Caenorhabditis elegans: one gene and its partners. The protein of the gene in region 1 purifies or fractionates together with the protein of each later gene. This does not show direct contact. Each region holds a gene or a part of one and is shown in the gene's direction. Other genes may lie near its edges.

What was found. The genes of interacting proteins can lie anywhere in the genome.
Region 2: the proteins of prp-17 (region 1) and snrp-200 fractionate together in Caenorhabditis elegans (co-fractionation; one large-scale study listed by BioGRID). This does not show direct contact.
Region 3: the proteins of prp-17 (region 1) and mec-12 fractionate together in Caenorhabditis elegans (co-fractionation; one large-scale study listed by BioGRID). This does not show direct contact.

Annotation. Positions count from the first base shown.
Region 1 is NC_003279.8:10,934,709-10,941,132, forward strand, and holds prp-17 (Pre-mRNA-processing factor 17), read left to right. Parts: upstream 1-2,106; 5' UTR 2,107-2,131; coding exon 2,132-2,819; intron 2,820-3,690; coding exon 3,691-4,380; intron 4,381-4,805; coding exon 4,806-5,025; intron 5,026-5,443; coding exon 5,444-5,549; 3' UTR 5,550-5,813; downstream 5,814-6,424. Other genes in the region: tag-296 (Glycolipid transfer protein domain-containing protein), read right to left, coding at 193-278, 327-431, 475-839; F49D11.14 (uncharacterized protein), read right to left, coding at 1,664-1,684, 1,740-1,997; Y95D11A.3 (BZIP domain-containing protein), read left to right, coding at 5,977-6,112.
Region 2 is NC_003280.10:12,733,720-12,739,082, reverse strand, and holds the start of snrp-200 (U5 small nuclear ribonucleoprotein 200 kDa helicase), read left to right. Parts: upstream 1-2,172; 5' UTR 2,173-2,207; coding exon 2,208-2,646; intron 2,647-2,695; coding exon 2,696-3,518; intron 3,519-3,636; coding exon 3,637-4,774; intron 4,775-4,832; coding exon 4,833-5,240; intron 5,241-5,302; coding exon 5,303-5,363. Other genes in the region: pisy-1 (CDP-diacylglycerol--inositol 3-phosphatidyltransferase), read left to right, coding at 757-890, 1,143-1,244, 1,320-1,579, 1,632-1,798. UniProt on the Caenorhabditis elegans protein: Catalyzes the ATP-dependent unwinding of U4/U6 RNA duplices, an essential step in the assembly of a catalytically active spliceosome. Plays a role in pre-mRNA splicing.
Region 3 is NC_003281.10:3,136,044-3,141,297, reverse strand, and holds the start of mec-12 (Detyrosinated tubulin alpha-3 chain), read left to right. Parts: upstream 1-2,063; 5' UTR 2,064-2,163; coding exon 2,164-2,166; intron 2,167-3,548; coding exon 3,549-3,771; intron 3,772-5,254.

The DNA of each region.
Region 1 (6,424 bases):
AATGATCTAAAATGAAGCTTTTCAAGCAGAAATTGTGAAAATTTCTGACAATTGATGTGTACTCTGTGGGAAAAATATTATCAGTTTGCGAAAATCGTCTAAAATCTGAAATTTCTTCTTCTCGCGGAGTACACGCGCCGCGTAAATCAACACATGGCCTAGCAATCCAGTTTTCTTCAGACTTTCCCATACCTTTAAGGTAGTCAAGCATTTTTTCACGTGTTGGGAGAGTGTATACGGCCACTTTGACAGCGGTACGAATGATCCATGGATGATGTCTGGAAATTAAAAATTCATAACATGAAATTCAGATTTTCAGAGCATACTTTGCCAGGGTTCCATCATAGCATTCCTTGCAAATCTTGGGAATGCTGTCATCGTTAGTGGCAGCCACTGCCGCATACATGAACTCGACGATGAACTCGAGAGCCCTGGAAATTCAAGGAAATTTTAAGATTTCTAGTCAAAAAGTACCGATTTAAATGTAAAATTGCCACTGCTCCACTCTCTTTTCCATTCTTCTCCATTGGTTTTTCACTGTGAACAAGAGCAACTACAGTTTTGTATCCTTCTGGATTCGCCGTATGAAGCTCCTTCAGAAGATCAATCTTCTCACGAACATCTTTCTCCACAAATTCAAAGATTTTTCCGAGCATTCCGATGAATTTGCACAGCTCTTCGTAGACTTCGACGAATGTCAGAAGCTCAACGTCATCCGGAGTCACTTCCGGGCAGTTTTCCACGTCACTTTTCTCCACGATAATGACGTCAGTGGAGAGTTTCTTCATTTGAGTGGCTACGAGCTTAATGCAGAAGGGTGAAGCGGTGTCTTCGGTCATTTTTAGCTGAAATTTTGGAATTTTATCGATTTTTACGAAAAAAAAATCACAAAAATAGAGAGAAAATAGCGAAAGGAGGCGATAAACTTTCATCAAATGTATTATAAAAGCCGTTGTTTTGATTTTAAACTGCTGATTCATAGTGAGCGCGTGATTCAAAAGCATCAGAAATCGCAGGAAAAACAAAACTGGAGACGACAAAATTATATTGAATTTATCTTTAGAAACAATGAGTAAAATTCATTTTTTTTAACGAAATTCCAGAACCAAATCTTCTTGAGTATTGACCAATATATTGGGAAATTATGTAAAAAATCAGCAATTTTTGATTTTCATGGATTTTCGCCGTATTCGGCGAATGTGAAAACGGAAAACATGCTTAAATAAATTATAAATTAGTATTTAAACAATTTGAAACATAAAAATCCGTTTAAAAACTTCTAAAACCGAAAAAAAAAAGCTGAAAAACGTGGAAAAAATTGATAAAAATTTATTTTTTCGATGGTAATGCAAGAGCGCCCCAATGCACACTCTCTTTTCGAATCATTCGAATGGCAATTTTCATTTATTTTTGTGTAAAAATATCGGTTTTCCTTGTTTTTTAATGCTTTTGCGCTGATTTTTGATGTAAAAGCTATTAGAAATTGTCTAAATTTTGTCGGAATGCATCGGGAACCATCACAATTTGGTTTTTTGGGTGTATTTCTCTTGTCTGAAAGTTTCCCGCTGGAGGTTAAACAATTGTTCCAAGAAATCGATAGAAACGTTTCAAGACATATTTAACGAAAAATATTTATTCTAAAAGATCAAGTACAGCACGAACATCAATTTTCCTCCGTTGAAAGCTGAAAATATACAGAATTTGTCAGATTCATTTATTTTTTCTCGGCAATCCCTCACCGATCCGCGCTTCTTTTTCCCTTTCTTCCGTCTCGCATCCGTCTTAATCTTCGCAATTTCTTGCTCCAAATGCCATTGAACAGGAGTCTCGCATGCCACGTCACCATTTGTCACGTCACCAACCGCCCGATACTGTAACCAAAGCGGTATCGAAGCGGAGACGACAAAGATGACGGCGAGCCCAATGTAGGACCAATAGAGCTCCGAAGTGTCCGTCTGATAGTGCTTGAAATAGTGTGAAACTTGATATTTGTCCATTTTTTGTTGTAGTTTTTCTCTGTATTTGAAATGAGAAATGTTAATTTTTTTCTTATTTTTCTCGAAAACGAACGTGAAATTTAAATTTAAAAATTAAAATTAGTTTTTTTTTCAGAAACTCAAACAAATCAAAAATGGATGCGCTACAAGCGTATGGCGGTAGCGACAGTGAACACTCAGATGATGACGCCAGCATGGATCAGGTCGCAAAAGGAAAATCATCGACATTGCTGGAAAGAGCCATAGTCACTGCTCCGGACGTTGAGTCGAAAAGTGCAATTCGACAAGTAGCGATTGTAGATCCAAAGACTAAAGAGATTAAATCAAATCCAAAATTTGATCAGCTCTTCAAGCCAGAATCTGGGCCAGTAAATCACTTTAAATCAGAGCAACAAAGATCACAAAAGAACACATTGACAGGATTCGTCGAGCCTGCACATCTCAATGAATTTCATTTTAATCGACAAATTCGAAGCTTTGATACTCTTGGGTACGCTCAGAATCCGACTGCCGAATCCGGTACAACTCATTTCGTGGGAGACGTCAAAAAAGCAGAAGCCGAGAAAGGAGTTTCACTTTTTGAATCGAAAAAGACTGGCGGGGAGAAGAGAAAACGAGTTAGAAATGATGATTCAGCAGATATTGATGGATATACTGGACCATGGAGTCGATTTATTGATGAAAAGACAGTCGCTAAACCAACACCAGAACTTCAGAAACAAATGGATGAAATTGTGAAGAAGAGGCAAGAAAAAAGCAGGCGATTCAAGAAAGAAAAGGAGGATAGTGAGCAAATGGCTGAAGAGAGCTCCACGCTTCATTGTACGAGTTTATTCTTGATTGTTTGGCTTGAAATGGCTCAAAAAGGCCTTTAAAGTTCCGGAAATGTGCTAAATTTAGCTGAAATTTTCCAATTTTCAGTTGATTTTTTGATCAGATTTGTGCTCTTTCTGACTGAAAATGTAATTAGATAAACAGAAAACGCTAGATAAACGTGAAAATGGAAGATTAATTGGATAAATTACGATTTTAGCTAAAATTGGCCAAATTTTAGAGCCATTTTATTAGATTTAAGCAAAATTTTAAGCTCATTTTAGCCATTTTCGAATATTTAACCCAATTTTTAAACGTTGCAGAGAAATTTCGTTTCTTTTTTTGAAATTTTTAACCGATTTTCAGCGAATTAACTGTTTTTCCGAGATTTTAAACTTTTATTTTTTATTTTTAGCGAAATTTTTTTGGCATTTCAAGGGAAATCTAAAACAATTTGTATTGATAAGAGAAAAAGATAGTTTTCCAAGATTTTTGCTAAATTTAATCTGATCATTTTAAACATTTTTAGTGAAATTTGGCCCAAGTTTGTTAACGATTTAAGATAAAATTTGCTATTTGTTGTTTAATTTCAACAATTTCAGCTCAGTTTAGCCATTTTTGGAATTTGATTCAATTTTTTAAAGAATTTTACCGAAATTTGGCACCTTATTTTTTAAATTATCTTGAAATTTTGAAACAATATTTCGCTTAACATGGATAAATTGCTTCGAAAATCGAAAATTTTGCATTCTGAATAAGAAATACCAATTTTAGAGTGTTTTCAGAAGATTTTTTTCGGTTTTCGAATGGTTCGATTTTTCGGTTATGCTCAAAAGTTTTTCTGGAAGTACATCAACTCTTCTAATAATTAATTTTTCAGTGAAAGAAGCCGAGGATTACCAAGGTCGCTCATTTCTTGTTCCACCATCATTCACCGGTGTCAATCTCCGAGAGGACTACGTTCCCGAGCGATGTTTCGTACCGAAAAAGCTTGTTCACACGTATCGAGGACATAACAAAGGTGTCAATTTCCTTCAATGGTTCCCGAAAAGTGCTCATTTATTCTTGTCATGCTCAATGGACACAAAAATCAAATTATGGGAAGTATATGATCGTCAGCGAGTTGTCAGAACATACGCAGGCCATAAGCTTCCTGTTCGTGAAGTTGCATTTAATAATGAGGGTACAGAATTCTTGTCAGCATCTTTTGATCGATACGTGAAGCTTTGGGATACTGAAACTGGACAAGTTAAGCAGAGATTTCATACTGGACACGTACCGTATTGCTTGAAATATCATCCAGATGATGATAAGAATCATATGTTTTTGGTTGGAATGCAGAATAAGAAGATTATTCAATGGGATTCAAGATCTGGAGAAATTGTTCAAGAATACGATCGTCACTTGCAGGCAGTCAATTCTATCACATTTTTCGACAAGAATCGTCGTTTCGCATCCACTTCTGATGATAAAAGTGTCAGAATTTGGGAATGGGAGATCCCAGTAGACACGAAACTTATTCAAAATGTTGGACTTCATGCGATTCCGACTATGACAAAGAGTCCTAATGGTAATTATTGAGGAACATTAAATTCAGGGAACGCGTATTGTGCAATGTATATGACGCGCAAAATATCTCGTAGCGAAAACTACAGTAATCCTTAAAATGATTACTGTAGCGCTGTTGTGTCGATTTACGGGCTCAATTTTCGGAACGAATTTCATTTCGAATAGTGAGCGATTTTTCATTTTTTCTCCAATTTTTCGCAAAATTGAAGGAAGCTGAAATACCGTTGCCACTATTTAAAAAAAAATATTTCAAAAATCGAGCCCGTAAATCAACACAAGCGCTACAGTAGTCATTTTAAGGGTTACTGTAGTTTTCGCTACGAGATATTTTGCGCGTCGAATATGTTGCTCAATACACATTCACAATGCTTTGTGCTCCTGTAATAAAAATACTTAAAGCTCAAATTTCTCTCATTTCTTTTCCAGATAAATGGGTTGTGGGACAATGCATGGACAATCGGATAGTCCTTTTCCAGCTTGTCGATGATAAGCTTCGATTCTCAAAAAAGAAGGCTTTCAGAGGACACAATGCGGCTGGATATGCGTGCAATATCGATTTTTCGCCGGATCAAAGTTTCCTAATCTCTGGTGATGCTGATGGAAAATTGTTTATTTGGGATTGGAGAACACACAAAATTGTTGGAAAGTAAGGTTTTCTATGTGGAAATTATTGATTTTTTGTTTAAAAAAAAGATGGAAACTGGTAAAAAATTTAAAAATCACGATTTTTCCGATTATTTTGCGCTTTAATATAAAAAAATGCTGAGAAAGCCCTGAATTTAATATAAAATTTTCTCTCATTTAATTAAATTTTTTCTAATTTAAAACATTCTAATTGAATAAAAAAGTGAAAAGTACCCAACTTTAACGATTTTTACCTTAAAAATTGAGTTTTAAACCCGAAAAATCCAAAAAATAAACTTTTTTTTCGATTTTAATGCGTCAAAATTTCTGAAAAAATCGTAATTTTTCAATTTTTCAATCGTTATTTTCAGTAAATACGCCACATTTTCCATTATTAAAATAAAAAACCCCAAAACCTCCAAAAAATGTATGATTTTCAGATGGAAAGCTCATGATAGCACTTGTATCGCAGCACTATGGCATCCACATGAAAAAAGCCGAATGATTACTGCTGGATGGGATGGTCTCATTAAAATGTGGAATTAATTGTTGATTTTTCCCTTTTTTCCCAAAAAAAAATTATTATTTTCCCAAATTTTGGCTCTTTTTCTCACGAGTTTTTGTCCCATCTCTCACATTTCCCTGTTCATTAAAAAAATTTTTTTTTTCGTAATAATGTTTTACTTTCTCCTGTTTCAATTATTTATTTTGTATCTTTGTTCATTTATTTGTTTTTTCTTCCAATTTTAAACCCTATTCTTACAGAACATTTCCGACACACGGAAATTGATAAAATTATTTTTATTTTTTAGCCTGAAATTTCAGTTTACCCAATTAATGGTTATCGACCAGATTTTATTTTAATTTTTTAAAGGAAAATTAGTTTTTTTTTCTATGAAAAAAAGTTATATATTTTTTTGGAAATTTATAACTCTTAAAAAAATTCAATTTTTTCAAATAAATAAAATTTCAGATGGCTTCTCAACCGGAGCTCATAATGGTTGACGAGCAAGTCGTCGCTTATGAAGTAGAAATTGATAGTTTTGATGTAAAATATGATGAAGAGGAACATGATGGTCAAGGGACACAAGATGAACCATTTTCTCATGGTACGGAACAGTTTTACGCTGAAAAATTCCAGAATTCCAAAAAATGAAACCTAAAATAGTGATAAAAAGGCGTTTTGAATATTAAATTGAAGAAAAAAATCAGCAAAAATTGTTCAAAATCAAGAATTTTAACGGAAAAGTGTAAAATCTTCTCCACGGGGAGTACACATGCTTCGTAAATCGACATATGGTCAATTTTAAAGTTTTGAAAATTGAAATGCCGGCAAAAAATCTTTTCTTGTTTTTTTTTCGCAAAAAATTCAATTTTCGAAAAAATAATTATAGAAAATTGCATTTTTTGACCGAAAAGTC
Region 2 (5,363 bases), on another chromosome or scaffold:
ATTTCAGCTTGTTTTGAGTTAATTCCTCACGAAATAGATTAATTTTTTAAAGGCGCATGCATTTTCCCACTGCCGATATCCCGTTGCGCACGAGTGTTTGCCTCTCGTGTACTTCTCTCGGACAATTGGCGGGACTTTCGAAATTCATTTTTTGAGGTTTTTCTATTGGATTTTTAGTGTTTTCCGGCAGTTTGTTGAATAATTTAGCTCAAAAATGTTCTAAATTGTGAGATTTATTCGTTTTTAAAGTATAAATTGTGTGACAAGGACCATTGCATCGCTGGGAAGAGCAATAGTTAACTATTTCGCTGGAATTCTAGTAATCGGACGATTCTGTGGACTTATTGAGAGGTTTTTGATATTTTCTTATTGAAGCGTGTTCCTATGCTGAATATTTAGCTGATTTTGCTGCAAAAACAAGTTTTTCGGCCATATGCAAACTGATTCTCGAAAAAAAATCCCAGTTCTCTTAATTTTTCCCATTAATTCTCCTCATTTACGCTTCCAACTCCTACATTTTTGCCTTAAAAGCTTTCCATCTTATTAGCTAGCCAAATGAAGCGAGAATAAACAATTTCTAGCTCTTCTCTCATCTCCAACCATCTGCGTCTCCGCTCTCTTCCCATTTTCGAAAATGTCTTGCTTTGGAGCAGATGGACCGTTGTCAAGGCATTTTTTATCGCTTTTTTTCGTTTTCCCGTGTTTTCAATCGATTTCTCGTTCTCATTTATTCAAAAACAATATTTTCAGCTTAAAATGGAACCGACAGCCGCCGAGAACAACAACAATGTGTGGCTATTCTACCCGAATCTCATCGGTTATGGACGCATAGTACTCGCCATTTTGGCCATGTACTACATGTCGTCAGCGCCATGGTGTGCAATGTTCTGGTGAGTTTTGGCGAGCTGGAAATCGATTTTTGCATCAAAAATTAGCTAATATCCATGTTTACTACTACTTTTCATCTCTTTTTCACTGAAATGTCGAGTATTTTTGCGATGCATGGTAAAGAAATCAAGGTGACCAGGTTTCTTTTCAATTTTCCCCCATAATTGAAGAGTTACAATGCCATCTGACAAGGTTTTTCAGAAGAAAAGTCCTGAAAATTAGATTTTCGTAATTAAAATTTCTCATAATTTCAGCTATGCACTCAGCGCCGGACTCGACGCGTTTGACGGATGGGCGGCACGGACCTACAATCAATCGAGCCGATTTGGAGCAATGCTCGATCAGCTCACCGATCGGTACGTTAAAATTTCTCAAATATGCTGGAAAATTCGAGAAAAAAATTGGATTCGGTAAAATTCTCATATTTTCAGCTGCGCCCTGCTGGCCTTGGTGATGGCGCTCTGCAAGTTCTACCCGGATCACTTGTTCCTGCTTCAACTGTCGGCCGTAATCGACATCGCATCTCACTGGCTTCACCTTCACGCCACTGATCTCTCCGGTGCCACGAGCCACAAGCAGTCTTCGAATTGGCTTCTGAACCTCTACTACACGGATCGATTGTTCCTCGGATTCATGTGCGGCGGAAATGAGGCTTTCTACATTTTGCTCTACATTCGCGCGTTCTGGGCTGGTAAATATTTGATTTATTTTTGCTATAATTTATTAATTCCTCTAATTTTCAGGACCACTGATCTTCAACTTCCACTTCATGTCGATCTTCCCACTCATCGCCTTCCCGATTGCCTTCGTCAAGTCCGCCATCTCCGTCGTCCATCTGTACACTGCCGCCGAGATGGTCGTTGCTCACGATGTGAAGCTCCGTGTTGAGGCTGCTCAGAAGGCCCAATGATCTCCGGATCTCCCCGAAGTCTCCAAGATTCTCCTCTGATTCCCCATGAGCTTTTGTATACACATTCCCCACTACTTAATTCACGAGCTTTACGCTTAGCTTTAGTCCTTTAGTGCTCTCGTCTCAGGAAAATGTTTCCGATTTCCATTTAATTCCAAATTTGAACATATTTCTCTGTAATTTTTTTCCCCGTAATTTTTTTTTTCGCAAATTCCCGATGTACTTACTCTGTAAAATAATATTTATTTTGTTTATTTTATTTTCCATTTATTATTCAATTCGAATTGGTTTTCAGCCAGCCGATTTTATCTATTTTCTCTCAATTTTTATTTCTTGTTTTGATTTTTTTAACCTTAATCCCACGATTTTTGCAGGATATTCGACTATCCCGAGTTGACTACAAACTACAATGGCCGACGAGCTAGCCCGAATCCAGCAGTATGAGTACCGGCAGAACTCCAACTTGGTTCTGTCGGTCGACTACAATCTGACGGATCGGCGTGGCAGAGAGGAGCCGACTGGCGAGGTGCTGCCGATCACGGATAAGGAGATGCGCAAAATGAAGATGGGTGACCGGGCGATCAAGGGAAAAGCGCCGGTGCAGGATCAGAAGAAGAAGAGAAAGAAGAAGGACGACGAGAAAGCACAACAGTTCGGCCGGAATGTCCTTGTCGACAATAATGAGCTCATGGGAGCCTACAAGCCCAGAACCCAGGAGACGAAGCAGACTTATGAAGTGATTTTGTCTTTCATTTTGGACGCACTTGGCGATGTTCCACGCGAGGTTCTGTGCGGAGCCGCTGACGAGGTGCTTCTCACGCTGAAAAACGACAAATTCCGAGATAAAGGTGAGGTGAAAATCGAAGATTTTCAATAAAATTTATATTTTTTTTTCAGAGAAGAAGAAAGAAGTGGAAGCTCTTCTGGGACCGCTCACCGACGATCGTATCGCAGTTCTCATCAACTTATCGAAGAAGATCAGCGATTTTTCGATCGAAGAGGAGAATAAGCCTGAAGGCGATGGAGACATCTACGAGAATGAGGGTGTAAATGTGCAGTTCGACTCGGATGAGGAAGAAGATGACGGTGGGATGGTTAATGAGATCAAAGGTGATAGTGAGGAGGAGAGTGAAGAGGAAGAAGGTGTGGATACAGATTACACGGCAACACTCAAAGGAGATGGTCATTTGACGGAAGATGAGCAAAAAGCACGAGGAATTCTTCATCCACGTGACATCGACGCTCATTGGATCCAAAGATCGCTCGCCAAGTACTTCAAAGATCCTCTGATCGCCCAACAGAAGCAAACGGAAGTCATCGGAATTCTCAAGAACGCCGCCGACGATCGTGACGCCGAGAATCAGCTTGTCCTGCTGTTAGGCTTCGATCAGTTCGAGTTCATCAAGTGCCTTCGCCAGAATCGTCTTATGATCCTCTACTGTACACTTTTGCGTCAGGCGAACGAGAAGGAGCGTCTCCAAATCGAAGATGATATGCGATCTCGTCCAGAGCTTCATCCGATTCTTGCACTTCTTCAGGAGACTGATGAGGGATCTGTTGTGCAGGTGGAAAAGTCGAAACGAGACGCGGAGAAGTCGAAGAAGGCCGCCACAGCAGCAAATGAAGCCATCAGTGCGGGACAGTGGCAGGCGGGCCGCAAGATGTTGGATCTAAACGATCTCACGTTCAGTCAAGGATCTCATTTGATGAGCAATAAAAGGTAAATACAATTTTATTTTAAAAGTACGATTTTCCATTAGAAAATTAAGGAAATTTGATTCATTATGCACTTTAAAAGTCCACATTCCCAAAAAACCCTAAAATTCTCAATTTTGCAGATGCGAGCTCCCCGACGGATCCTACCGCCGCCAGAAAAAGTCCTACGAAGAAATCCACGTACCAGCCCTCAAACCACGACCATTTGCTGAAGGAGAGAAGCTCGTCAGTGTCTCAGAGCTCCCGAAATGGGCCCAACCGGCTTTCGACGGCTACAAGTCGCTGAACAGGATCCAATCCCGACTCTGTGATTCAGCTCTTCGATCCAAAGAGCATCTCTTGCTCTGTGCTCCAACTGGAGCTGGAAAGACGAACGTGGCGCTGCTCACGATGCTCCAAGAAATCGGAAACCACTTGGCAGAGGATGGAAGTGTGAAGCTCGATGAGTTCAAGATTGTCTACATTGCTCCGATGAAGTCACTGGTTCAAGAGATGGTTGGAAGCTTCTCAAAACGTCTTGCTCCATTCGGAATCACTGTCGGCGAAATGACCGGAGATGCTCAAATGAGCAAAGAGCAGTTCATGGCGACACAAGTGATCGTTTGTACGCCGGAAAAGTATGATGTGGTGACGCGAAAAGGCGGAGAGAGAGCCTATAACCAGATGGTTCGGCTGTTGATCATTGATGAGATCCATCTGCTTCACGATGATCGTGGACCGGTGTTGGAGTCGATCGTCGTCAGAACGATTCGTCAAATGGAGCAGAATCACGATGAGTGCCGACTGGTCGGACTTTCAGCAACTCTTCCGAATTATCAAGATGTGGCGACGTTCTTGCGAGTGAAGCCTGAGCATTTGCACTTCTTTGATAACAGCTATCGTCCAGTTCCCCTCGAGCAACAATATATTGGAGTTACTGAGAAGAAGGCTTTGAAGAGGTTCCAGGCGATGAACGAAGTGGTGTACGACAAGATTATGGAGCACGCCGGAAAGAGCCAAGTCCTCGTTTTTGTGCATTCCCGAAAGGAAACTGCGAAAACCGCGAAAGCGATTCGTGACGCGTGCCTCGAGAAGGACACGCTGTCGGCGTTCATGCGTGAGGGCTCAGCGAGCACAGAAATCCTGAGAACCGAGGCCGAGCAGGCGAAGAATTTGGATTTGAAGGACCTCTTGCCGTATGGATTCGCTATTCATCACGCTGGAATGAACAGAGTTGATCGTACACTCGTCGAGGATTTGTTCGCTGATCGGCATATTCAGGTAGGGGAATCGAAAATTTCCCGAAAATATTTCAAATCTTCAAAATATTATTTTTCAGGTGCTCTTTTCGACTGCAACTCTCGCTTGGGGAGTCAATCTGCCGGCTCATACTGTAATCATCAAGGGAACTCAGATCTATAACCCGGAAAAAGGACGTTGGACAGAGCTCGGAGCACTCGACATCATGCAAATGCTCGGAAGAGCCGGACGTCCACAGTACGATGATCGCGGAGAGGGAATTCTCATCACAAATCACTCGGAGCTCCAGTATTATCTCTCGCTGATGAATCAACAGCTTCCTGTCGAGTCGCAGATGGTCTCACGGCTCACTGATATGCTCAACGCTGAGGTTGTGCTCGGCACTGTCAGTAGTGTGTCGGAGGCGACGAATTGGTTGGGTTACACTTTCCTTTTTGTGAGAATGTTGAAGAATCCGACGCTTTATGGAATTACACATGAGCAAGCGGTAGGTTAAGCTTGAAATTTTAGCATTTTTCATAGAAAACCCTAAAATTCTCCAATTTTCAGCGCGCCGATCCTCTTCTAGAACAACGTCGTGCCGATCTCATCCACACAGCTTGCGTGCTTC
Region 3 (5,254 bases), on another chromosome or scaffold:
AAACCACTGTAAAGTACCCAGCTACAACACCCAACGATTTTTGGGGCGAGACCCATATTTTCAGAAATTTTTGAATTCTTTAGAATCTAGCCATGATTATACTTAAATAAAAACTATAAATGTGCGGATTTTCAATTTACAATAAATTTTAAATTTCAGAACAAAATCGGCAAGTTACTGGGGCTAACTCCAAAATGTTAAAAATGTTTAAAAAATGTTGAAAATTCTCGAAATTTTAACTTTGATCGAAATTGAAATTTTTTGCCGAATTTTTTCTGTAAAATTAAAGCTATCGTCAAACTCTTTTTTACAAAATCAATAAAATACACAAACTGAAAAAAAAACAATTCAGCTAGACAATTTGAGATTTTTCGATTTTTTTTCAAAAATTTTCAAAAACTGCACAACAAAATTCCCTTCGTTCTTTTTTCTCAAAGCCTTTTCTTCTCAAAATTTATCATTTTCCAGTTCTTCCAAGAATATGAGACCCTATCAAAAATGAATGAAAAAGGAAGATCATCAGCTTAAAAATTCATACAACAGTGGTCCCAAGTCCCCCAAAAAATTCCAAATTCATCAAAATTTGAGTGTTAGAAATTGTGATAAGGTCCTAGGATCCTATTGGTAGTAGGGAAAAACTTAAAATTTAACAAAAAAAAAGGAATTTTTTTGAAATTATACTAGTTTTGAATACATTTTAAGCAGTAAAGGCCAATAAATACACAGCTGAATACTAGTCACCGCAAGCTTCATCGCAGAGCTCTGAATCTGAATGCATTAGGAGGTTCTTTCCATTTCCATCGGTAAACCAATCCTTTTGCTCATTTCCAGATGGCTTTCTCTCTCGGCTCTCTCCACCTTACACACTATTTCCTTGGATTACTGTAGTTGGGCGGAGTCTCTAAGGGGTAACCTGATACTGTTTGCTGAGGGCTCACGGAGCCAGAGAGGGCAGATGGCTGGAAATTGGTGGAAGTGGTGGGGAGAAGAATGTGTTGTTGGAAAATGTAAAAATTAATTTTTAATTATTAATTTTTTAACATGTAGAAACTTTAAAAAATTCAACTGACTTGCGAAAAGGTTTTGAAAAATTACAAAAAAATTTCAAAGCAAGAAGTTTTTTTTCAATTGTTTTTTAATCGATTTCTCTCAAAAACCTGTAGAGCTACGAAAAAATTGTCAACAAACAAAGTATAGCTCTAAAAATTGTCTACAATTTGCTAGTGAACAAATTTTTGATAACTTTCCTGGTTTTTGAGATATACAGCTTTATCTACAAAAAACGATTTTTTTTCAAACTGTATTTTGAAAAACTGAACTAGAATAATAATTGGGATCCGAAAATTTTAATATTTTTGATGTTTTTTTGTGGAATATTCGGCAAACTTACCAAGCTCGGTGAATGGCAAATTTCGGAAAATTTGCCGCACACCCTGGCATGTACCTTTCACCTAGGTTCCTTTAGACACATGTATTTCCGCGACGAGATAATGTATCAAAAAGTTGTCAACTTACAAAGTGTATCAAATTTCAAGAGCTTAATTTTGTTTGTTGGCAATTTTTGATAACTCACCTGGTTTTTGAGATACGTACGTTTGAATTTTAAATTTAAAAAAAATTGTAGAAACTTTTTTTTGAAAACTTCTCACCAAAACTAGGTCTTTAGAGTCCTTTCTAATTTGCCTTTGGGCAATATGTTACTTTTTCCCCAGTAACAGTTAAATTATATGAAGTAGAAGTTTCGCGATGGGAAATATCAAAATGTAGAACATCATAAAAGCTATATTTTGCTAATTACCAGCAGAGATATAAGATTTTTAAACACTGTCAAGGAAATTTTTTATTTTGTATTTTATTAGTTTTCAACAGAATTTTAATATGTCAAAACCAATGTTCTTAACAATTTCGCAACATTTTAATTTAATTTCGTTTTTTCTCTGTTTTTCGGAATTTCATGTCGTCTCCTTTCCCATCCTAAACATGGAGCTCGCGGAGCAAAAAAAGAAACATAGGAGGGGCGGAGCATGTGTCAACACGGAGAGACGCAGAGAAGGCACGTCTTCAGAAAAGAGGCTCACAGAGCACAGAGCCCCACTTGTGTGTGTTCTGTTCCATCTCAACTCGTCGCCCAGCAAACACAACTTGTAGCTCCTCTTTTGCAAAATGGTGGGTTTTCTAGATTTTCTGAACAATGTTTATTTGAATGTTTAGATTCTTGAGATGCTAGAAATGAATTCTTGTGAAAAATGAATTTTGAAACATTTAAACCTCGCCATAAAAACTTTACGAATCTGATTTCTTGTTAAAACTACCAGTATCTAGAAAAATAACGTGAATACTAAAAATTTGTCAACAGACAAAATATAGACCTTGAAATTTCCTACATTTCGTTAGTTGAAACTTTTCTTCTAACTCTTTTCCCTGTGGAGATATACTCGTTCAAAATGTAGCAAGCCAAACAGTGTGGAAGGGGGCTGTCTGCGTCTCTTCTCGTGCCACACTATTCCAGTCCTCCTAACTTTAACAGGGCATATCTCCGTTCGGAAAGCAACTGTCAAAAAGTTGATAACTAACAAAATGTAGGAAATGTTAAGTGCTGCATTTTGTTTGTTGAAATTTTTTGATATCTCAGCTCTTCGCTGAGATACAAACACTTAAAGTTAGCGACGAGATAGTGTAAGAAGTGGTGAGACGCAGACGCCATCGCCGTCTGCGTATGCGTTATCAGGACACATCTTGGTTAGGAACCCTGATATCAAAACAAATTATTTTAACAATTTTAGGAAAAAAAAACAATTTTTCGAAATTTGATTTTGAAAAACTAGGATTTTAGGATTTATTAACTCTTCCACCTCAACACCCCTTCAACATTTTTTCGACTCATTGAGCACACCTGGTGCCAGGTCCGGACTTCCGGAGCCCCACCACATAAACACAGGAAATGTTGCCAATTCAACTGAAAAATGCTCCGCGCCGAGCAGGACGGGGCGAAGGAGGGTTGTTGAGGAGTTGAGACGAGCAACACAAAATGTATCCAATTTGGGCGAAAATTGACTTTTTTCTCTTTCTTTTTGCGGGTGGAACTTTAGGGAGGAGAGGACTATTCCTAGAAGAAATACGCACTCTTCGTGGCGAGACCCGCGAAATTTTATTGAAAATTGAGTTTTACAATAAAATAGTGGGTTTGAACAAATTTGAAATTCGCCACGAATGTAAATTTTTCAGAGGGTTTGATCTACCTGTCTACCTGTAATACATATCAGATATCGTAGTAAACTTTTTAAAATGAAAATTTGAAATTTTGATTCAAAAATTCAAATTCACCACGCTGTGAGCTTCAATTCAAGTATAGTCATGCCTAGGTTTCACTGAGAAAACTGGGTCCCACCGCGAAAACTACAGTACCCCATGTAGACACTTTCGTGACGGGACCCAAATCTAAAGGAACATAGCCAATATGGGGCTTAATTTGAAGCTCTTCGTTTGCTGAATTCAAATTTTATAATAAAACCCTTTAAAATCTACAAACAAAAAAAGTTATCTTGCAGAGAGAAGTAATTTCGATTCACATCGGACAAGCCGGAGTCCAAATCGGAAATGCTTGCTGGGAGCTCTACTGCCTGGAGCACGGAATTCAGCCCGATGGTCAAATGCCTTCTGACAAGTCCCTCGGAGGATCCGATGACTCTTTCAGCACTTTCTTCTCGGAAACTGGAAGTGGACGTCATGTGCCAAGAGCCGTCATGGTCGACTTGGAGCCAACTGTCATTGGTGGGGGATTTTTTTTAAGAAGATATTTTTGAATTTTCACTTAAATTTTTGAAATCAGTGTTAAAAGCCCGTTAAAATAAGTATAATCATGACTAGGTTCTGAAAATGCTGAAATTTTTGGGTCCCGTCACGAAAACGTATGTGGTACTGTAGCAATCTTACAGAGATGTTAAAAATTATTATTTTTGCGTAGTTCAGGACTTTACGCATTTATAACTTCTAATTTCCGCCCAAAACTTTAAGTTTTGGCACATTTATGGATTTTCGAAAAATTTCGAAAATCAAAAAATTTAAATTTTCAAAACGGCACAGCAATATTCCCAGTTTCACCGCAAGACCTAATTTTTTTGGTTTTCATATTTGGCATTTTGAGAACTTTCATTTGAATATGCAAACATAACTAAGCTATGAAAATTCTGAAGGGGTACTGTAGCTCTCGTGGCGGGACCAAACTTTTTTGGAAATCTGGTCATGATTATACGTATTTTGAAGGTGTCGGAAAGCTGAAAAAAATTTTAAAATTTTGAGTTAAAAGGTCTAACTTTATGACTTTTTGTGGTTCTGCGAAAAAACGCAATTGGAAAATTTTTGATATTAGGCTTCTCCGAAAACCCTAGAAAAACGTCACCAATTCCATTTCGGCTCAATTTTCAAAGAGCTCTTCCTCTTTTTGCTTCAAATGGCGAGCCCATTGTGATGTAATTAGACGCAGACACTACACATCTGCTAACATGAATGGATGTACTCTCTCCAAGAATTTAATGGAATTGGAGTAGGACACCCTATTAGGGATGCAAATGGAAAATGTTTTGCTATTTGACGGAGGAAATTTTGAACATTTTCAGAGAAATTTGGGGTATCTGAAAATACTATACAAAATTTCTCACATTTTGTTAGTTGAAACTTTTTTGATAGCTGTTTTCTACGCAGAGTTACAAACGTTTTAACGTGTCGTTGTAAAAGATCGTGGGAGAGAAAGAGACGCAGACAACGAGCGCGACTGCGTCTCCCCTCCCTCCACACTCTCTCACTGTTCTTACTTTAAACGCGTATATCTCCGCGATGAGGAGAGCTATCAAAAAGTTGACAACTACCAAGTTGTAGGAAATTTTGAGCTCTATAATATGTTAATAAACAATTTTTTATTAACTCAACTTCCGGCAAAGTTATAGGCGTTTCAAGTTAGTCTAGAAAATTTGTTTGTCGTTAGTTTTGCAACTAAAACCAAAAGTTCCATGTTCCATCAACTTCCCAAATAGACAAAGTATACTCTCGGGAGGAAGCTCATCTTCCCCTCTCACCAACAAACTTCTTCGTCTGCTATTCATATAAAAAAGAAGAAAAGATGAGAAAATGAAGGGAGGGAAAGGGATGAAGAACATTGGATATTCATCGAAAACCGAAACCGAAATAAGGAATTGGAATTGAATATTTGGGAGTGTTGGTGGCGGAGGAGAAGGATGAGGACACATAAAAATTCATT